Caenorhabditis elegans: one gene and its partners. The protein of the gene in region 4 interacts with the protein of the main gene of each other region in a pairwise test. Each region holds a gene or a part of one and is shown on either strand. Other genes may lie near its edges. The genes, in order: taf-12, egl-13, paic-1 and C46H3.2.

The links.
Region 1: the proteins of C46H3.2 (region 4) and taf-12 interact in a two-hybrid assay, tested with the Caenorhabditis elegans proteins (one large-scale study listed by BioGRID).
Region 2: the proteins of C46H3.2 (region 4) and egl-13 interact in a two-hybrid assay, tested with the Caenorhabditis elegans proteins (one large-scale study listed by BioGRID).
Region 3: the proteins of C46H3.2 (region 4) and paic-1 interact in a two-hybrid assay, tested with the Caenorhabditis elegans proteins (one large-scale study listed by BioGRID).

Annotation. Positions count from the first base shown.
Region 1 is NC_003281.10:11,863,264-11,871,099, forward strand, and holds the start of taf-12 (Transcription initiation factor TFIID subunit 12), read right to left. Parts: upstream 6,019-7,836; 5' UTR 6,012-6,018; coding exon 5,916-6,011; intron 5,593-5,915; coding exon 5,460-5,592; intron 2,944-5,459; coding exon 2,762-2,943; intron 2,458-2,761; coding exon 2,362-2,457; intron 1,870-2,361; coding exon 1,684-1,869; intron 340-1,683; coding exon 136-339; intron 1-135. UniProt on the Caenorhabditis elegans protein: Part of the general transcription factor complex TFIID. Plays a role in recruiting taf-4 to the nucleus and thereby activating transcription initiation by RNA polymerase II, as part of the TFIID complex.
Region 2 is NC_003284.9:5,662,156-5,666,863, reverse strand, and holds the start of egl-13 (Transcription factor egl-13), read right to left. Parts: upstream 3,028-4,708; 5' UTR 2,954-3,027; intron 2,500-2,953; exon of another isoform or gene 2,360-2,499; intron 377-2,359; exon of another isoform or gene 184-376; intron 1-183.
Region 3 is NC_003280.10:4,369,099-4,374,515, forward strand, and holds paic-1 (Phosphoribosylaminoimidazole-succinocarboxamide synthase), read right to left. Parts: upstream 3,428-5,417; 5' UTR 3,418-3,427; coding exon 3,322-3,417; intron 2,810-3,321; exon of another isoform or gene 2,740-2,809; intron 2,536-2,739; coding exon 2,047-2,535; intron 1,750-2,046; coding exon 1,573-1,749; intron 1,245-1,572; coding exon 960-1,244; intron 916-959; coding exon 715-915; intron 673-714; coding exon 649-672; 3' UTR 527-648; downstream 1-526. Other genes in the region: try-9 (Peptidase S1 domain-containing protein), read left to right, coding at 1-40, 86-213, 305-520; ntl-2.1 (NOT2/NOT3/NOT5 C-terminal domain-containing protein), read right to left, coding at 3,848-4,304, 4,789-5,004, 5,066-5,219, 5,270-5,396.
Region 4 is NC_003284.9:1,227,757-1,232,670, reverse strand, and holds the start of C46H3.2 (Caskin-2), read left to right. Parts: upstream 1-1,912; 5' UTR 1,913-1,924; coding exon 1,925-1,970; intron 1,971-2,266; coding exon 2,267-2,410; intron 2,411-2,564; coding exon 2,565-2,710; intron 2,711-3,148; coding exon 3,149-3,244; intron 3,245-3,519; coding exon 3,520-3,630; intron 3,631-3,683; coding exon 3,684-3,800; intron 3,801-4,914.

The DNA of each region.
Region 1 (7,836 bases), on a different chromosome or scaffold from region 4:
AAAAATAGTCAAAAATTAGAGATTTTAGCTAAAACTAGGCGTTTTTTTCTAATTTTTTTTTCACGAAATCCGTATTTTCTAGACCATTTTAAATATCAAAAAAAAACATAAAAATCAGTAATAAAAACGCCGTACCACTGGCATATTATAGACATTCTTGAGAATAAATTCGATATCCCGTGATTCAATTTTCTTCACCTCCCGATTCTTGATCATTTTGCATGCTTTATCGATTAGAGAACTGACAAAATCGTCGGCGTACTCCACAAGAACATCTTTTACATTTTCTTCGAGTACTGTTGTTGAGCTGATTTGTTGCATCAAATCATCCAGTTTTGACTGAAAAAAAAATTTTAAAAAAAAGAAGATTTTTTAAAATAAGAATTTTCGGTTTTTTCAGTGAAAATCAAAAAATCGGAAAAAAAAATTTTATAGAGTTTTTGAAAAAAAAAAACTACGAAAATTTTAGGCTATTTTTTTTTTTTTTTTTATTAATTGTTATAATTTTCGATTTTTTTGTTTGAAAATCTTGAAAATCGAAAATTTAAAATTTTTTAATTAGAAAATTAAACAAAAACTCTTAATTTTACAAGAATTTTTACAAGAAAAATTACCAAAAATTTAGGCATTTTTTTCAGTGAAAATTTAAAAATCGAATTTTTAATAGCAAATTTACAAAAAATTCCATTTTTAATTTCATTATTTTTTCAGGAGCAAAGCAAAAACTAGTGTATGCAGAAGTTCGAATTTTTTTCAAAGTTCAAAAAAAAATTTAAAAATTGTATTGAAAAATTGGAAATTTTCGTTTTTCGTTTAAAAAAAATCGAATTTTCAATAAATTCCGGCCATTTTTCAATACTTTATAGAAAAAAAAAATCACTTTTTTCAATAAAAATCAGCATATTTTTTGATAAATCTATAGCTTTTTCGTCCCCTTCCGTGAATTCTTTGTGCATTTTTTTTCCTATTTTCTCTGAAAAAAAAGACCGAAAAATCTGAAATTTGCTCATTTTCTATGAAAAGACAATCCAAAAAATTTTTTTTTTGCGAATTTTTGCTAGAGAAATTTGTAATTGAAAAAAAAACTAAAAAATCAGAAAATTTTTTAAATTTTCCTGAAAAAACCTGAATTTTTTTCGATTTTCTTTGAAAAAAAATCGGAAAATCTGAGCTTTATTCGATTTTTTCTGAAAAAATTTCAAAATTAAATAAAAATCAATTTTCCAAGTATTTTTGCCGGTTTTTTTGCCGAAATTTCCAAGTATTTTTGCCGGTTTTTTTGCCTAAATTTCCAAGTATTTTTGCCGGCTTTTTTGCCGAAATTTCCAAGTATTTTTGCCGATTTTTTTGCCGGAATTTCCAAGTATTTTTGCCGGTTTTTTTGCCGAAATTTCCAAGTATTTTTGCCGGTTTTTTTGCCTAAATTTCCAAGTATTTTTGCCGGTTTTTTTGCCGAAATTTCCAAGTATTTTTGCCGGTTTTTTTGCCGAAATTTCCAAGTATTTTTGCCGGTTTTTTTGCCTAAATTTCCAAGTATTTTTGCCGGTTTTTTTGCCGAAATTTCCAAGTATTTTTGCCGGTTTTTTTGCCTAAATTTCCAAGTATTTTTGCCGAAATTTTCAAGTATTTTTGCCGGTTTTTTTGCCGAAATTTCTAAGTATTTTTGCCGGTTTTTTGTTGCACCTTTTCCATAATACTTCCATACGGAACAGCGGCCGGTATCATTTGAGGTGGCGGTGCCTGTTGCTGTTGTGGCTGTGGAATTGGAGGCTGTTGAATTTGTTGAGATGGTGGTGGCTGCTGATGTTGCTGCTGATGTTGTACTTGCATAATTTGTTGAGGAGGCAGCGGCATTGGAGACGAGTTTGGCTGGAAATTTTGAAAAATTTTGCCCAAAACTAATGGTTTTTATAGTTTTTCCATTAAATCGGGCTCTTTTTGAGCTCCAAAAAATATTACGCCACGACAAATTTGGCGAATTTGCCGGTTTTTTACGAGCTCGATCGGTAAACGTTGCCTTTTTAGTTCCGGCAATTTGCCGATATGCCGGAAATTTTAATTCCGGCAATTTGCGGGAAAATTGAATTCCGACATTTTGCCGATTTTGTCGGAAATTTCAATTCCGGCAATTTGCCGATTTGCCGGAAATTTTAATTTCAGCAAATTGTCGATTTTGTCGGAAATTTCAATTCCGGCAATTTGCCGATTTTGTCGGAAATTTCAATTCCGGAAATTTGCCGATTTGCCGGAAATTTTAATTCCGGCAATTTACCGGTTTTGCCGGAAATTTCAATTCCGGCAATTTGCCGATTTGCCGGAAATTTCAATTCCGGCAATTTGCCGATTTTGCCGGAAACTCACCACAAATTGTGGTGGTCCACCACCTCCTTGCTGCTGCATCATATGTTGTGGCGGAGGCCCTCCGACCATTCCCATTAAATGTCCAGATGGTCCTGGCTGGAAACATTTTAAAATTAGAGGATTTTTAAGCGGATTTCCAAAAATAACTGCAGAAAAAGTCTTAAAAATGCCCAAAATATGCGAAAAAAAAATTTTTTTTTTGAAGAAATTATACAAGCCTTGAAATTTTCACCGCTGCTCCGCTGCTCCACTGCAGAAATTGTTTTGTAACATTTTTTAGAACAATTTTTCAGAGATTTTTGATCCCGTGGACCCAAATTCCCGAAAAAAGGTTTTTCTTGGGTCTCAAACGGAAGCTTTTTTTAAATTCAAATTTCCCAGATAATAACCGCCCCCGTACCCCTTGAGCCATGCCCATCTGCATTGGTCTCTGTTGCATTTGCATTGATTGCCCATTCGGTGTGAATTGTTGGGGCTGCTGCTGTTGTGGAATACCCATTTGTTGAAAGTGTTGCTGCTGCTGCTGCTGTGGTGGTGGAGGGCCCGCACGCATTTGTGGTGATGGGTATGGCATTTGGCGGACTAAAATTACGAATTATTTCATGAGAAGCCTTATTAAAGAGACGGTGTAGTCACCGAAAATATGAAGATTTTCGCTAGAATTAGGCGATTTTCGGAAATTCAGCATAATTGGAACATCGTCCAATCAGCGTACCGCTCCGCCCACTTCTGGACCAATCAGACGGAGTGGGCGGGGTTTGAAGATGCTGATTGGTAGGAAAATACTCGAAAATTGGTAAATTAAATATTTTAAAAAAGCGATTTTTAAAATGGAATTCTTTGAATTTTTTAAAAGCGATATCTACATTTACCCAAAGCCGCCTTAAATTACACCTAAATTAACGAAAAACGTGAAATAAATATGCAAATTAGGATGAAAATTGAATAAAAATCAATTTCTAGCCACCCTGGCACCGAAAAAATGGAGATTTTAGGCGATTTTCGGAATGTCTGGTAGATCATGGTGTGATCTGCAAAAAATGCGGGAATTTTTGGCCCAAAAAATGTGACGTCAGCACGTTCTTAACCATGCAAAATCAGTTGAGAACTCTGCCGCATTTTTTGTAGATCAACGTAGATCAAGCCGAAATGAGACACTCTGACACAATGTGTGGTTAGGAAATTTGAAAATTCAGCAAAATTAAAACAGCGACCAATCAGCGACCGGCTCCGCCCACTTTTGGACCAATCAGACGGAGTGGGCGGAGAGCTAATTTTAGTAAAATTTGAAAATCACGATTTTTTTTCCGTTTTTTTTGTGGTTTTTCTGAATTTGAAACTATTTTTTTTGGATATTTTTAAAGGTGGTGTAGTCGAATGTTTTTATTTGCTTTATTAGACTCAAAATTGTCTGAAAACACCGAATTTCATAGTGAAACTGTTTGAAAACTTCTCAAAAAATAAGTTATGACGGTTCAAAAAATGACCTAAAATTAGTTAAAATTTGAAATTTTACCGACTAGCCAAGCGTCTGGAAACAATTTTTCGAAATCACCGTCAAATTTTAAGTATACAATTTAATTATCTTGCGTTTTCAACTTCATTTAAGTATTTTAAAGTCGATGGACGGCGAGATTTGGTTTTAAAAAATTTAAAAATCTCGTCGTCCATCGATTTTTAAATACCTTAATCAAATTTAAAACACAAGGTAATTAACTTATATACTCAAAATTTGACGGTGATTTCAAAAAAAAATGTTTCCAGCCGCTGCGACATTGATAAGTTGGTCAAATTTCAAACTTTAACTAATTTTAGGTCATTTTTTGAGCCGTCATAACTTATTTTTTGAGAAGTTTTCAAAAAGTTTCACTATGAAATTCGGTGTTTTCAGACAATTTTGAGTCTAATAAAGCAAATAAAAACATTCGACTACACCACCTTTAAAAATATCCAAAAAATAGTTTCAAATTCAGAAAAACCACAAAAAAAAACGGAAAAAAATCGTTAAAAAAATTTAAAAATCTCGCCGTCCATTGATTTTTAAATACCTAAATCAAGTTGAAAATGCAAGAAATGCACTAATTTTAGGCCATTTTTTGAGCCATCATAACTTTTTCCTGAAAAGTTTTCAAGAAGTTTCATTATTAAATTCGATGTTTTCAGACAATTTTGAGTCTAATACAGCAATAAAAAAAAAATTCAACTACACTCTCTTTAAAAATATCCAAAAATACATTAAAATTCAGAAAAACCACAAAAAAAAAAACGGAGAAAATCGCGATTACAAACTCCGCCCACTCCGTCTGATTAGTCCAAAAGTGGGCGGAGCCGGTCGCTGATTGGTCGCTGTTCCAATTTTGCTGAATTTCCGAATTTCCTAACCACACATTGTGTCAGAGTGTCTCATTTCGGCTTGATCTACGTTGATCTACAAAAAATGCGGCAGAGTTCTCAACTGATTTTGCATGGTTAAGAACATGCTGACGTCACATTTTTTTGGGCCAAAAATTCCCGCATTTTTTGTAGATCACACCATGATCTACCAGACATTCCGAAAATCGCCTAATTCTAGCGAAAATCTCCATTTTTTCGGTGCCAGGGTGGCTAGAAATTGATTTTTATTCAATTTTCATCCTAATTTGCATATTTATTTCACGTTTTTCGTTAATTTAGGTGTAATTTAAGGCGGCTTTGTGTAAATGTAGATATCGCTTTTAAAAAATTCAAAGAATTCCATTTTAAAAATCGCTTTTTTTAAATATTTAATTTACCAATTTTCGAGTATTTTCCTACCAATCAGCATCTTCAAACTCCGCCCAATCTACCTGATTGGTCGAAAAGTGGGCGGAGCGAATCGCTGATTGCTCAGGCATTTCTCATTTTGGAGGTAATTCGAAAAATCATGTTTTTCGAGTTAACTTTTTCACTTTTTCGCGATTTTTTTCTTTTTTCTTCGGAAAAAACGTAAAATAGCCGACTAAAATAGGCGGAATAGGACAAAATTGGAGATTTCAGCTAAATTTTGAGCAATTTTTTTTTCATTTTTCACGGAATTATTTCTGAATTTGAGGCATTTTTTAGGAGTTTTTTCTTCATACTTTGCTGCTGTGGCATCTGCATTCTCATCGGGCCGCCCATTCCACCCATCGGCGGTTGGCCCACAAACTGCTGCTGCTGCTGCTGTTCGTTGGGATTCTGATGGCCTTGTGGCGGAATTCCCTGCTGCATTGGCTGAAAATGTGGGTGATAGACGTGATATCCATGATGGTAGGGCCACATTTTTTAGTATTAGTAAATATATATATATATATGGACAGAGGACGACGAGAAGCTTTTGTGATGGAAATGGTTTTGTCGGGGGAAGAAGAGAAGCACAATCGATATGAGAATAATACACATACACTTTGGACGTTTACGGGGGAAAAAAAACGGAGAGGCGCTCCGATTTTTTATTATTTTTATTCGTTTTTTTTGTTTTTTTTTTGTCGGCTGGCCGGTGAGTCATTGTTGGGACAGAAAGCAATAATTAGAGAGCGGACACACAAATCGCTTACAGAATTCGTGGAGAGAGCGGCGGCGATTTGCGGGTTCGCCTGCACGATTACGTGATTATTCGGTGAAGTTGGAGGTGAGAATTCTTCCATTTTCATTTTTTATCTGCAACTAAGTTTTTTTTTGATGATTTTAAAGCTTAAAATCTTTCGGAAAACCGAGGAAAATGGAAATATATTCATAAAAATGAATAAATTCGTTAAATTCGATAAATTTTCCACAGTACCTCGGTCGTTGTGAGACCCAATGTTAAACAAAAGCATTGCGCCTTTAAAGTTATACGGTGAAACTTTTCAAGCAATTTCTATTTTTTTCCGAATTTTTAGTTGCTAATTATTATTTTTGATTAAATATTACGAGAAAAATTTTAATTTTGAAGAATTTCTTCAAATAAAGTTTAAAAAACCGAGGAAAAGTCAAAATTAATAACTGAAACTCGGTTCGCTGTGAGACCCAAACTTAAAAATAGCAATGCGCCTTTAAACTTATACGGTTGTATTTTTAGGCAATTTAAAGTGAATTTATGTTTTTTCCAGAATTATAGTTGCTAGCTATTATTAATTTTAAAACCGAGTGAAAATTTTAACTTTGAGAATTTTCTTTTAAAAAAAACCAAGGAAAAATCAAAATTAATGACTGAAACTCGGTTCGCTGTGAGACCCAAAGTTAAACAACAGCAATGCGCCTTTAAAGTGATACGGTGGCGATTTTCAAGCAATTTAAAATCAAATTGAATTTATTGGAAAAAATCAATGAAAAAGACCTAAACTAATAAATATTCAAAGTTTTATTCTCGAATTGCACATAATATTATGCGCCGAAACCTCGTAAAATTAGGCAGATTCTGATATAAGGGAAAAACGATCCGAAAAATGTAGGACATTGGGGGAATAGAGACGTAGGGGGTGGTGGCGAGAAATTGAGGCCAATGAAGAGAACGAGAGACCTCTCTAGCTCTTTTCCGTCTCTTCTCGCAACTATCTCTCTCTCTCTCTCACTAGTGTGGTTTATTAGAACCTAAATGAGCGTGGCCGTGGGAAAACCTAGGCCACGCCGTTGCGAGGAAGTGCAAGTAAACAGAAAAAAGACGACGGCGGACGTCTTATAAAAACAAACATGTCACATTTTGTTGTCCACTCTGTCATTATTTTGCGAAAGAATTGGGATCGAATTGGGAAGTACATTTTTGGGTCTCGCCGCGATTGTTTTCTTTAATTGAATATAACTGTACCATGTGATCACTGGAAATGGAAAAACATATTTTATCTAACATTGGTTGAGGAAAAGGCAATAAAAACAATTAAAATATCGAGTTATTACAGTACACCGAGGTTTAAAGGCGCATGAGGGTTTTGAAAAGTCAAAGTAAAACTGGATATTAGCGTAAAATTTTGTTCGGTCATAATCGAGTATATTCGTAAAGTTAAAAAAAAATTTGGGTGTTTGGTTTTAAAATAATGTTTTTTTGAAAATTGAGTTTTTACTAAATTTCAGCTAAAGAAAAACTTGAATTTTAGTCGAATTTTGAACGGTGGGTAATAATTTTTTGTGTTTATATTATTATTCAGACATCAGTAAGTAAATTGGTAAAGTTTGAAAAAAATTTGGGTGTTTGGTTTCGAAGAAAATAATTTTTTGAAAATTTGAATTTTTATTCATTTTCAGCTAAACTAAAACTGAAATTTCAGACAAATTTCGAACGGTGGGTATTAATTTTTTGTGTTTATATTATTATTCAAAGATCAATTAGTATATTGGTGAAGTTTTAAAAAATTTGTGTGATTGGTTTTGAATAAAATAATTTTTTTGAAAATTGGAATACATATTAATTGGGAGCTAAACTAAAACTGGAATTTCAGTCAGATTTTGAACGGTGGGTATTAATTTTTTGTGCTTATATTATTATTCAGACATCGGTTAGTA
Region 2 (4,708 bases), 4.4 Mb from region 4:
TCCCGCGGGACCGTTAGTATCAAATTCCACAATTCATCGATGTTGCCCTTGGATAACTTGTTGTTGTGGGGATGGAGGAAACAGGGGCTAAGAATCGAAATCTATGAGCAAGGCCTGGTTAAGCCGATTATAGTCTAGAGCAGGATGGATCAAGGCCTATTTGTCAAATGGGAAAGGGCATAATGTTCGTTCAATATTGAATATTACAAGAGCTCCGTTTTGGTTTGACAACAAAAGATAGGTGTTATTAAGTGTGATATATAAAAGAAGAACAAGTGTGACAAGTGACTCCTTCCGCTGATTTGAGGTCAGTTTTTGAAAGAAAAAATTTTCGCAACAATTTCTGTTCAAGATTCGTATGAGAGTGGGACGAAAAGATGAAAAACGGGGGAACTTTTGTCGTCTTCCAGGAAGATGCAACAATTGACAAACATCTTGGCAGGCATTGTTCCATCAAGAGCTCGGGGTTCCCTGTGTCTTATCTTCCTATCAAAGATTTCAAACACGAAAAACGGATAGGAAAAAGTGATACTACGAGTACAAACGTTAGTTCGACGGATATTTTCAACACGTTCAAAATGGTGATATTTGTGGAATCGTTTCTCAAGGTGTCACACACTCTACTTACCATCAATTAACGAGACAATAGATAATCAAATAATGTCGGGGCAGGTGACAGGTTAGCAATAGTTGAACACCTAATAGAACATACGTCTCATGGCTTTGTTCCGTGTATCCGGGGCGCCGGTGACAACTGGCTCTTGTGGCGGCTGAACCTCGAAACAACGGTGCTCTTTTTCTCTCGATGTCACACTTTTTGAGAAACTGAGAAACTTTTCGTGCAATACAATGGAGCTCTCATTGCACTTTTAGTTTGGGACAAAAAATGTTGATAGGCTTGACGAGCGATGAGACACTGGGACAGTGGGACAGCGCAGATGTTTGATGAGCAGGAATGATGTTCGATTGTAGTGTTTTGCGAAGAATTGTTGTGTGATAAGTTTATGAAAAAAAAGTTAAGTCTCATGCACAACAAATAAGAAAGATTTCAAAAAAAGGTAAATCAAATATATTAGGTCTCCAAATAAGTTCTGGGTCAAAAATCATAACTTTGTTCGCTGTGTATCGATTTTCATGAAACTCTGGGAATTTATGTTATCAACTATAATCTTTCATTTAACAATAGTCACGAAATTTTTTGACCGCCCCAAGTGTCCTAACTCGGAGCCAATTTTTTCAGGCATTTTTCTGATCTCGCTTATTTTCAGCTTTGAATTGAGGGTTGTGTGCGGATTTTTCTTTGTTTAGAATACATTATTAGAAAACAACAAAAGTTTTGAAAAAATCCGTCCAAAAAAATTTTTTTTGGTTGGTCGTCAAAAAATCTTCAAAAAAATTTTTTGTCGAAAATTCTAGATTTTTCCTACAAAAATGATGTAACCATGAACCTCAATTGAAATTTGAAAAGAAGCGAGATCAGAAAAATGCCTGAAAAAATTGGTTCCGAGTTAGGGCACTTGGGGTGGTCAAAAAATTTTGTGACTATTGTCAAATGAAAGATCATAGTTGATAACATGAATTCCCAAAGTTTCATAAAAATCGATACGCAGCGAACAAAGTTATGACTTTTGACCCGGAACTTATTTGGAGACCTAATATACCACCAAATATTTCTCTACAGTGTGCCCAACGTCTATAGCACCACCCCACTAATTTGAGAGTTTGGTGTTTTTGAAAATATTTTTTGAAAAGGTGTTAGTACAGTTCAATAGAAAATGTTGAAAACCTATGGTCCTTGATTTTCACAACTTATATCTCAAAGTTTAGTTCGAAATTTTAACAATAAACGAGAAAATTATGAGGAGCCGAGAACTGGCCCCTGTCAAAAAATCCGATGAGTGCTATAGAAGTTGGATGAATGTTTTTTTTACAAAATTTTTACTTAATTTTCAGGTATCATCATAAAACTGGGGGAGCATATCCTTTGCAGCATTTGCTATCAAACTGTGCTGACGTTTTTTTCTGAAAATAATTTGGAAGCACCAAACTCCCAGATTAGAAAAGGGATGATATAGACGTTAGTTGTAATGTATTAGTCTTGTACTCTCATTGCTTTACTTTGACAGCTTCTATCTCGGTTGGCAAATTATGTGCAAAATGTTTTTGTACATTTCAACAGTAAATAATTTTTTGGTAAAACTTAAGAAGACTGATATACGAGGTAAATCCATTGGGGTGCAAGTTTAATACGGAAAATGCGGTTTTTAACTACAATCAAGTATGTCAATGATCACTCGCATGTTTCTCCCTTGAAGCTCAAGCTGAATAGAGTATGGTTTCAATAGATTCTCAATAGAGTATTCAAAAGAAATAATTGACATATACACCCTACCAAAACTGCAAACACAAGAGCAAGGATAATTCATCATCGAGATCTCCAATTATCCCTTACAGTCTGTCAAGAATACATGAATATTTGATAAGGTAAAGTATGGAAGAAGAAGGATAACACAAAGGATAGATAGAAAAGAAGAAAAAACAATTATTTATGGAATTGGCAGTGCCCATAGGAGGCACATGATGATAAACTCGGAGTTAGCTAGGATATTAAAGGGATCATGAGCAGTGACGGGTGCGGCGATTTGGCCTACTATTATTATGATCAACAACGGCACACGACAAGGAGAAAATAAGACTAGACAAAGTAATAATTCTTTGAAATCTGTCACCAAATCTGGAAGTGTTGCTCTTGCTCCAAATGCGCAAATATAGGCAAAAGTGTGAGAAAAGTAAAGTTGGTGAGGAAGAGAATACTTACCAGATGCTTGCTGGTGCAAATACTTGTTCTACTTGTTTTGTTATTTCAATGAAAAAGCAAAACAGTGCTCACAACATTAAAAGGGGAAAGAGCATGGCACAGTAGAAACTAGAACGGAAACTAGTTCTTACTCACCACTATAGAGCCATTCGGGAGATTGTTGTTACTGATCCAGCAGTATTATGGAGTATTGATTTTATTTGGAGTGTCTGGAATTTTAAATTTGCGTTTGTAAATTCAAGCCTGAAGAAAACATTGAAAAAGAAGAATCAAAAGCGTTAGAAATTGAAACTAGAGAAACTTAAAAAGGCCGATTATTTGAGTTCAGTGGCATTATTAATTCAAACGATTCACACGCGCTGAATGAATTGTGAATTATGAAGGAGAACAAAGATATTGCACAGATATATATCAGAAATTCCTTTTCTTCAATTGAGGATAGTCTCACGATTTGTCCTTTGAGGGTAAGAAGAAAAAGAAAAGAGAAAAGGTTCAAGTGAATAAAAGATGGGGGCAAAATGGAAAAATGAGAAAAAAAATGTTTGGTTGAAAGTAGAAAGCAACACTTAGAGAAACATAAGTTCAGTAGTCAAACAGAAAATATAACTAGTTGTCCCACAAGGAAGCCTATGGTATTAATTTTTTGTTTTGGACTGTTCACGAAATTTCATTGGTCACTAGTTTCAGACATGGTGACCCAATTGAACTGGCAATTTCAGACAACAAACTTTGAACCAAGAGAAGAAGAGAGAGGGAGAAAACAGGAAAAAGCTGGTATTGGTTGTCTAGGTGATTGGAAGAGGGAACTGGTATCAGACAAGTGGTTCAAGGTAGTTGTGTTCCATCACACAATGAAGAGAATGAAAGAGAGTGACCACCCCACCTGAAAACAAAACTGACCACGCAATTTGTTTGTCCTCTGAATCGTCTCACAATAAGTTACACACTGTGCCCTCTTCTCTGCAAAGTGGGTGGTGGTGGTGTGTTGTCGGAGAGACACGGTGGGGACCCGCGCTTCTTCAGAACTGGATGTGTTGACCAATGGCGCAAAAGTTTTCCAAAGAACGCGAAATGGTAATAGGTCGAGAACCACTTGCAACAATTCCATAATGTTTCTTTTAGTTGACACAATGCACCTACTCAACCTCGTTTCGAAGATTCGGAAATGCATTTATGATAGACTAAGAGGGCATCGCAATACGAGGACGGGAATCAATCATAATGTATTTTAGGTGGACATTTTAGCTTTTGACAGTAAAGAATATTGAAACACACTGAAATTGTATTTCAATATAGCCTAGAAATTTTAAGTAGGCCAAAAAGTTCTAACTATAGTGAGAGGTTATGACATCTAGGAACTTGGAATATTAAAAAAAATCTTAGTTACTACATACAACAAAATCCTAGAGTATACGAACTCTTATATAAGTCTATATAAAATAAGGTCAAAAGGCTATCACAAATGAAACCGTAAAGATACGGTTTTCTAGTTCAAGAATATACAGAGTCGCCCATAATTATGGCGACCACTTTGCAGTAACTCAACGTTTCTGTTTTTGGAACGAGATATTAAAACAAGTGAACTTACACAGTTATTAACCACCCTGAATAACTAGGTAAATTAAATAGGTTTGCATATTTAGAATTGTTAAAAACACAAGAACTGAAAAAACACATCGAAATGTTAAAATTTTAGATCTATGCTTGAACTTGAATTTGAGATTGAGACATTTAGTATTCCGATTTTCTAAGCAAACTCAAATACTGTTGCACAACGCGTGATGTGACTAATGTTTATGTTCTTACAAGTTGATATGAAAAATTACTATTGGAGGTTTTTCTTATGTCTCATAGCTGGCAAAATTATCGCTCCCTGATAAATTCAAGATT
Region 3 (5,417 bases), on a different chromosome or scaffold from region 4:
AGAGAAACCGGATATAAGCTTTTTGGTTATGGAAGAGATCGTAAGTTCCGATTTTTATGTGATCTTTTGAAATTTTTAATTCCAGCTTCGGATAGTGTTTTGGAGTCTGGAAAGTTGAAATCGCTATACTCGTTTGTTGCGGAGTGCTCCGACGATTTCCCATATGGCGGGGTGTATTGTACGTCGGCAGTGAATAGAGGATTGTCTTGTGATGTTTGTTTTTAAAGTTTAAAAGTGTTTCTTCAGAAGTAGGCAGAACAATGCCTACTTGCCCAAGATGCCTAATAGTTTCCACTGATTCCAGGGTGACAGTGGCTCGGGAGTTGTCCGAACATCGGACACTCGAAATGTTCAAGTTCTCGTAGGTGTTTTGTCAGCCGGAATGCCTTGTCCAGAACTCTACGATACCCATAATCGTCAACGTCAGCAACGGAGACAGCTGACTCAAGAGACTGATCTTCTCGTGGATGTCTCGGCACACGTGGATTTCTTCTGCACGTGCTGTGGAATGTGCAGTTGAAAGTTTAAGATTCAAACATTTCATTTCGTTTTTAATATAAGAATGCTGAAATAAAAGTGAACGTTGAGTAATTAGTTAATTTACACAAGAAAGTTTTTGAAAAATCTGATTTCAATTCAGTCCTGCATCTATTCAAGTTTGCGATTGGCGTTCTGAAAGTTCAAAAATTAGAAATTCACATCTCTATCACTTACGTAAATGTTGATTTGATTCTTGAGCTGTGCAGTGAGCACTTTTCCAAACACAATATGATTGTGAGACGCGAGGATTTTTGCGGCGGCAAGCGCGGCCTCCGATGGGTCCAACACTGTAGTACACCCGATTCCATTCGGCATTCGGAGTGATGACCAAATGTCAAGACTCGTTGATTCACTTGGTGGCGGGCAGTTGATCACCTGAATTCTTTGAAATAAAGATCATCTGATCTTTCAAGTCCTACCGGAAGAGACGAGTTTCCAGCAATAACTGGACCGAGTCCATTGGATCTTCCAGCTACTGCAATCACAACTGTCGGAACTCCACTTTCTTCGAAATCAGCGATAACTTCCAGAGTGTCCGAGGTAGTTTTATGAGCTGAGCTTACTTTCAGCGTAGTTTCCAGTCCAAATTTCTTGGCTTCATCAGAGATTTTCCGTGCGAATACGCCATCCGAACCAGATCCCATGATCACAAGAACATGGCATTTTTGCTGGTGTTTTGAGAAGGTGGCAGTGATATCCATAACCTGGAAATGTTATTGGTAGGTAGATACGCCTTCGTGTCTATGTGCCTGCCTACCTACTCAACGTGTCTACCGAAAATTGTAGGTATGCATATTGGCAGAAATCAGGTGCAGATCGCCTTGCAGGCAGGCAAGTTATTGTGCTTACACGAAAGGTTTGATTCGCGTAAAAATCTAACAATTGATATATAGGATGATTGAATTTAGGTTTAGGCTTAGGCTTAGGCTTATGCTTAGACATGGGCTTAGGCTAAAACTTAGGATTAGGCTTAGTCTTTGGTTTAGGCTCAGGCATAGGCATATGCTTAGGCCTAAGCTTCGGCCTACTAACCTTTGTATAATTCTTCAAAACGAGAGCCAACCCCTCTTCTGTCACTTCCTTCATATCCCTGTAAACTTGCTTATCCAACTGCAGACGTCTATCATTTTCAGGCCAAACTCTCCACGAGTCATTGTCAATCACGTCGGCCAGGAGAATTTCTCCTTCAACTGTGACTCCGAATTCGATCTGGAATTTTCAGGTTTTCTTCAAAATTATTTCAAAATTACAACAACCGACAATTGTAAAATTCAGCGAAAAGAAAAACACACTTCTCCTCGTGAAGTACTCAAGCTGCGTAAATCGACACGTTACAGAAAACACCCAGTTTTAAATGGTGCTGATTTCCTTTCAAAATGTAAATATTTACAAAACGAATATATTGCAGACCGAACATTAAACTTACATACTTTTTATTATGTTTACTTTTTAAAGTTGAGACCGATAAAAAAAAAGAGAATAATAAAAACTTTGCAACACCCTCACCTTCATATCAATCAGAGCACTATTTGAAAGAGCCCATCCTTTCTCCAATGCTCTAAACACCAACTTTGTCATCTTCTTCATCAATGAAATCTCTTCTCTTCCAATTTTCAAATGATCAATCATCAAACCATTCGACACAATTTGTTCATCAGTCCATTGTGGATCATCATTAGCGTCGTCTTTGAAAAATGTCTCCAATTTCAGATCATTAAATCTGAAACCCTCTTTAACTCCAGGATTTCTCTTCAAGAAGGATCCTGTCGCAACACGTCGTGCCACCCATTCAATCGGAATCATGGTGCATTTACGGGCGACAAATTCAGTTTCAGAGATGCTTTTTTCAAAGTGTGTTGGTAGACCGAGAAGTTGAAGATATTCAAACACGTTTGATGTGGTTTTACTTGCGATTCTAGACTTTCCTTCAAGCTCATTTTTACGGACAGCGTTGAATGCGGTCAAGCTATCTTTGGAACGAATGAGCACATAATCCTGAAAAGATTTTGTTCAGAAATTGAAAAAGTTGGATTCAATTTTGTTGAAAAGCACATTATTATCGCAATCCAAACGGAAAAATTCAAATAGATTTCAAATTTACGAAATTGACCGAGTTTTTTCTAGGCTCCGTGAAAGCTCAGACACCGTTTTTACAGGAAATTTTCCGTACGTGTATTTGAAAAATGTGCTGAAAGAGTGGCCGAGTTTTCTCATTTCCTAGGCCACAAGCTGGCTATTTGCGGCGTGGCCTAGAAAACGTGAAACCTCGGCCACTCACCGACAGTGAAAACCGAACATTTCTTTCAAAGATTATTTTGAGCATACTTCTGAAAAATCTCTTCTGATAATTCGGTTGGCCGAGTTTTCGTGTTTCTAGGACACGCTTTTCTGAATATTATGTAGACGCATAAAAATGTGACTTGGGCTGCAAAAGCGCGCCACGGATAACTGAAAACCGGGTCTCGTTAGGTATTGGCGGTAAAACCGTATAATCCTACTTTTTTGCCGATTCCAGCACTTTCCAATCATTTCTCGTTGTTTTTAACGATTTTTATGTTGAAAAATGCAAAAAAAATTGGGTGAGATCGTCAAAAATTCACGTTCCCAACGAGACCCAACGTTTTGGGGCGGAGCTTGTCAGATTACTCGCGGAGCGCGTTTGCATCACGATTTCAAAAGGCGCTTTTAAAATATCTAAATTTTAATCTATAAAGCATTAAAAAATTAGTAGAAAATTAATGTTTTCCCAAATTTTTTGAATTTTCAGTGAAAAAAACCAACCTTTTCTCCTTTAATATCAAAGATTTGCTTGGTTTTTCCTTCAGCAAGAAGCTCCAAGTTTTCGGGTCTCGACGCGATTTCAGCCAACGACGACATGACAAACAATAATAGTATCGAATGAAACTGTGTTGCTATCACGGAACGATATCAGAACCCCCTTGTAGGCGAGTTTGTCATCGACAAACATCTTGTTTTCAGCCTTTTTCCCCGTCTTATCAGTTCGGTGTTGCGCCACTGAAAATACAGAGAAAACCGCCGCCGCCAGTCATTGTGAAGCTCTTTCTTTGAAAAATCACAGGTTTTCAAAGAGCAACTTGTGTATATCGATAATCGTTTATACGAAAACGTAGAGAAAAGAGGAAAAATAAGGAAAACGAAGGAAAAAAATGGGAGATTGGGAGAGAAAATGTGGAGAGAAAGAGGGGAAAAAGAGATGGAAAATGAGAGAGAAAGGGAGCAATTCGAGAACAAGATGACGAAAGTGGGATATAGAAAATTTGCACACGAGAGATCATCTTCTTCTTGTTTAGTTTGGAGTAGCTCGCGCCGCCGATGGAACGGCTCCCGGTTGCACATTGATTCCTCCGATTCCAGCTGCTCCAACACCACCACCACCCATAACTCCGTTAAGACCCGCTGGTGCCGGTGGAGTGATTTGTCCGCCACCGCCGCCACCTGTGCCGAGCGTCAAGTTATGCATCTGAAGCATCAGACCCGTCTCCGGACCGCTCGGAAATTGTGGTCCTTGGAAAAAGTATTTGTAGGGTGTCGGTTGTCCGGAAACTGATTGCGGCATTTTCGGCCGATCCTCGAGCTCTTTGTACTCCAACTTTAACTCTTTCGGAATTTTTCGCCATTGCATCTGATCGAACACGTTGTAATGCCCTTTTTCATAATTTCCCGTCTGTTCTTTCACTCCACCGTACTGAGAACGCGTCAACCACACCTGTTCGCTTTTGTGAAATCGCCATTCGCGAGCGTACCTGCAAAAAATTTGAAAATATAATGATTGTTTCGTGATAAAAAAGATTTTCTCAATTGCTAACATAAAATATATGTTTTTTTCAATTTTCTAGCTAAAATTTTAAAATTATTAATAATTTGATTCGTGAACTTCGACCGCGACGTAACTGCAAACGGAGCGGCTCAATAATTTTTATTTTAACTTTTCGCTAAGAACGCGTGATTCACATGATTTTTCATAAATTTATATATGAGGCGAAATAAGAATCAACTAAAATGATGAACAATTATGCGATCTTAACGAAAAAGCGGATTTTCTTGAAAGTTTTTCGCCCAGAACGAGTGATTTTCTATCATTTTGGCCAATTTTTTATGCGTTTCATATGTAAATTCATGAAAATCACAAATTCTCGGGGAAAAAAAAAAACTAAAATAAATTTTTTAAACACGACGCTCCGCTCGCGGTCATGGTCGATGCAGGTTTTTGGAATAAACTTTACTTACAATTCGCACGCCGCCGCCACCTGATAAATCTCGTTTGGACAGTTGTAAAAAAGATAGAATAACACGTCTTCTGAAACTTTATTCAATCGCAGCGGTGGAAGTTTGTCTCGAATATGATTATGCGTCATGTACTCCTCGGGCACCTTCACGTCGAGCTCGTGTGCTCGAATCGGCGAATCGGCCCACGGACCACCAAAGTTCATGTACAATTTTCGTCTGAAACAGAGGGAAATTAGAGTTTTTCTGGGCTTTTCGGGCTTTTCAGGCCACTACTCACTCTGACAAATTCAAATTCAAGCCCAACGTCGTAAGATCATAACCTAACGCCAGTGAAACAATGGAAGGATTGTCAACTGTCCGAAGATATGTCACCAAACCCGCCATCCCAAACTGATCGTCAAGCATTGACGCTGGAATGTTTGTCACTTCGCCTGAAATTAACAATTATTATTTTAAATGCTTATTTTTAAAGTATTCCCACCATCAGGATGAGTAATAATCCCATGCATAGGTCCTTCTTGACTATTTCTTGATATCCCGCTGAGCCGCGAGGGGTCACAATCGCCTAGGGGTCCAGCAAAGTCGACTTGATGGTCGTCTGCTAACATCTGCAATAATTTATCGATTAT
Region 4 (4,914 bases):
TGATGAGTTGGTTTAAGCAGCAAAATTAAATAAATAAATTGGTCAGTTAGCTCTAAAATTAGGTCAGTGCTTTCAAAAAATTGGTCAGTGCGTTTCAACATTTGGTCAGTGCAAAACTCAATTTAAAAGTTTATTTTGCCATTTTGTTTTATTTACTGAACAGACATATTTTTGTTCTAAACTCCAAGTTTCCAAAGTTTTCAGCTATTCCCCTATTGTTCCTCAATCGTTTTATGAGATTAAAATTTGTGAATTCAAATAAATCATAGATTTTCCCATATTCACCCCTTACATCGCACTGACCCTTTTCGTCACCACCTGCGAAGAAGTGAGATGATATGACAAATGATCATGACAACAAATGTACATACACATTTATTGATGGAGAGACACAGATTTTGGGCGTCCGAATTCCCTTGTTCAAATCTCATCTCAAGGTCTCTTATCTGGAAAACGGAACATAATAATGATAACAATGAGATGATGATGAAGAGGAAAAGGGCGTTTATGAGAATTAACATTTTTATTCTTTTTAAGTTTTATATGTATCTCTCGAAGGAGTACAGATACAGGGAAAATCGTCACAAAAATGATTTAATTTTGCGATTTTTTTAAACACAAATATCTTGGATGGTCTTGAGACGACAAATGTTTGCTTCACTAATTTTTCATAATTTCTTTTTTTTTTTCCTCTAACTTTCTATTTTATTCAGTTTGCATAAAAAATTGTTGGCCGAGACCGGGTACCGTATCAAAACAAACTTGCTTCGTTATAAAAATTAATTTTTAGATATGTTCCAGAAAATATTCACAAAAACCTTTTAATTTATTATTTTGGTCAGTGCAGAAAATAAAGTGGTCAGTGCACTCTAAGGTTGGTCAGTGCAAGAAACTAATAACAAACTTTGTTTGTGAACATTTCTAGTCTGCTTAAAGTTTTTTAAAAAGAAAATAACCAAAAATAATTTAAAAACGGACAAACTCATTTTTGGCAAACGAAAAGAAAATTTATTTCAAAAAACAAGCTTAATCTTTTTTAATATCATTATTCTGTCACTTGCATGACGCGTCCACTAAATTTGTAATTTTTTCCTTTTTTCATATTCAGTTTTTTGACTTTGTAATGGAAATACAAAAATTATAGAAAATTAATTTTTTCGAATTTTTCTGAAAATATAATGGAAATTTCTGAAGGTAAATTATGTTTCTAAAATTATTTGCCAGTAAATAAAATAAGAGAATTAAAAATGGAAGTTTGGAAAATTACGTTGAAATAAAAAATATATAAAAACGATTTTTTTTTTCTTAAAAGTTTGTTCGTCGGAAATTTCAACAAAACCAGAGCTTTTGATTTATATACTTTAAAAAAATGATTTTGAGAATAATTAAAAATAGCTTATTTAAATTTCAACTCTGGTCATTTTTAACCAAGCTTTCCAAAATTTTAAGTATTTTTATAGTAGCTGTAGTTTAGAAGGCTCAAGCGTTTCATAATTATAGTCAATTCCAAAACGATAAAATTTGAATAGTTTAAGATTTTTTTAAATTCGGTATATATTTTAAGGAAATTTTTAAAGCCCATTACTAATTATTACGATTCTTTTTTTAAAATTTGTTTTCCTTGATCTTCTTGAGCCACAACCGCCACAAAAAAATAGCAAAAGTGGATTGTATTATTTGCGTAGATTTCCATTCGTTTGTTATCACAAAAGTCGTCGCCCTCTCTCTACCCCCCGAATATCCACCCGTACCTTTTGCTGTCTTTCGTTCTCTGGCGGAAGTACTCAAGTGGAGAAGGGATGTGCACTAAAAATGTGTATTTTTGTGATTGAAAATGCTTCTTTCTGCAGTTTTTGATGTTTTATCCTTTTTTAGAATTCGGTTTTTTTTAAATATTTAGTTAAACTTGCAGAGATCTTTTGGTATGTCCAGCAAAAAACTTCTTAGGAGGTTTTCATCAAGTATATCAGGTGGGTGAGATCATGTGGCAGAATTAACATCAAAAGTGGAAAAAACAAGTTTGGCGTAATTTCTTATAAAAATTTAAGGATTTTAGCAACTCTAGGCATGGTCAGTATAAAAAATACTTGGTCAGTGACATGGTCAGTGCTCCTGTTAAAATAGGAGCAGAAAATTGAGATTGTTTGGTTTTTGAAAAGAAGCTCAGTTTTTCATTTTTATAATTGTAAAATATATGTTCTTAAAAATTTTTTAACTGAGAAAAAATAATTTCTGGGAGTAAAACACTTTTTTTCGTTTATTTCAGATCTTCTTAGCATACCCAAAAGAGACCTTTGTGATAATGAAGAATTTACACCTTTACATAATGCAGTCAAAATGGGAAATACAGTTATGGCAAAGAATTTTATAGATTCGAAATCAGTGTGGATAGATGAGCCGGATTGTAGAGGTAATTTGAAATTTCTTAAAAAATAATAGTTTTTGCAAAATTAAAAAAAAAACCCGTTTTGAATTATCAAGCATTTTCTGAGCGGCAATTTCAAAATTCGACTTCAAAAAATACTAAAACGTGCACCAAACTGTATTAAACTTTCAATTTTTAGGCCAAACTGCTCTCCACTTATCCATCACCTACGGTGATACCGAAATGACGTCACTTTTACTGAAAGGCGGTGCAAACGTGGATTCCGTAGATTATGATGGAATTTCGGCATGTCATATTGCATGTAAAGACGGTATGATTGATCATGTAGGTTTTTTGGATTGGAAAAGTTATGTGTCAGTTCTATGGGACCCCATCTTTTAAAAAAATGGGTAAATAAAAAACTTTTGTAATGAATTATTGCTTTTTTCGGATTCAGCATGTTAATAAATTATGCTCCCAAAAATCTCAAACACTATTCTATCACTGACTGAAAATATATTAACTGCGTCAGTTTTATTTTGTTTTGAGACCCTTTCAAAAAAAAAGTCACTAAAGTTCTAGATTTTTCGAATTGAAAAAAAAAACAGAAAACTGTGTTAAATCAGGGATTCTTTATTAATTGAAAATTGAGAAGTTACGTAAAGTTTATAAAAAATGGAAGTTTTTTTAAAGCTTTTTTTAATAATGACAGAATTAAGGGTGTATAAAAATGTTTCAATTTAAAACAAAGTAATTTCATTAAAGTGAATTAAAAATTTTCAGTTTAACCTACTCATCTACTACCATGCAGACATTTGTTTAGTTGACAGAAGTGGAAGAACACCATTCGATTTGGCATGTGAATATGGACAAGAAAAGGTTTGCTACCTACTAGGGAAGGAGGCGCGGTTTCAAGACCGGACGCCTGCCAAATATCTGCACTTATTTTTGCACTATGGCGAGATGCAAAAAGCTTAGTGTTTATACCTCATAGTGCAAAAAGTTGATCTTTCAACGCGGCCGACACCTTTCGGTTTTGCGTCGTACCATACAAGAGGCGCGGTTTGCGGCACGAGATAGACACGGCAGTTCTTTTGCCGCCTGTATGGATGCCCTACTACCTACCTCTTGCATTGCTAAACAGGAAATTTCAGATGCTGGAGCGATTATTCAGCTGTGGCCTAAGAAAGATCAATTTCCAATATATGGACCATCTCCACACAGCTTCGGCATTCCACCTGGCGGCTGGAAGTGGTCAAGTTCAGGTTTGGCAAAATTTTCAGCTTACTAGAAATCTAGGCTAAAATTAAATTTCCAGATTTTATCAATGTTACTTCAACACAATTGGGATTTGAATTTTGTGACAGAAAGCGGGTCGGCTCTTCACATGGCAGCTGGCTCTGGACAAGTTCAAGTTGTTCGGTTTTTGCTGAATGTAAGTGCCTAATTTTTTATTGTTAATTTTCCAAGTTGAATAAAAATGGCTATCTGTTATTTTGTATGCCAGAATTTGTGTAAAAACCATTGAACGAAAACTTACATAGTTCAGAATAATAGAAAAGCCATGGTCAAAATCTTTGAAAAATCAAATTTAAAGATGTAATGGCTACTAGCTTTTAGTTAAAAAAAATCAAATTATTACAAGAGTATTAACTTTTCCATTTTGAAAAAAAAGGAATAAGTGGCTTAATTATTTTTAAATTCGTTTTCAAATGAATGCAAAATTTTACATTTCCAAAAATAAAGTTACGTTTAAAAACGATATTTCACTTTTGATTAGAAAATTTCAAAAACCGATGTATCTAAACATAAAACAGAAAATTAAAAATTTACAAAAAATCCATAAATTACATATGGAGCTCTAGAAATTATTCAGGCTTTCTAATTTTTCATTTGCGAAATTTAAAAAATCAATAAAAATTCAGAAAAGGTTAATGTATCTATTTTTAAAAATATTCACCAATTTCGGTCTATTTTATTTTTTTTAACTCCGCAGACCACTCTGATACATCTTTAGCTAGTTTCTAATTTCTGAAATTTTCAAAAGGAACTATTAGGTTGGTCGAAAAGTCTTTGCAAAATTTGTACTTTTCTTCATTTCTCAGCGTTAATTCATTTTTTTCTGATTCGGTTTTTTTTGCATAGTACGTAATGTGCATGTTTAATATATTAAAAAAAAACTTTTGGGTGCTGTTCAAAATGACCGAGAATTTGCTCGCCGAACGTCACGCCCTCCGATGGGTTTTTCTGTACGAGTTCCCCCAAATCTGCAATTGCAACGAAGCTCGTCGTAACATGTGTGCAGTGTTAGGCAAGAACTCTGTCACCTATAATACCATGAAGTTTTGGTTCGAAAAGTTCACGAAAAAGAACTACGATCTCGATGATAAACCAAGATAAGATCGCTCTCGTTTGAATATCGACGAGGATATTTCGAGAGCCCTGGAAGATGATCCAAGAGCAACGAACCGCGAACTTTCTGCGACTCTCAAGCATCCCCAAAAAACCATCATCAACCATCTCCACGAAACCGGAAGGGTAGAAAAGTT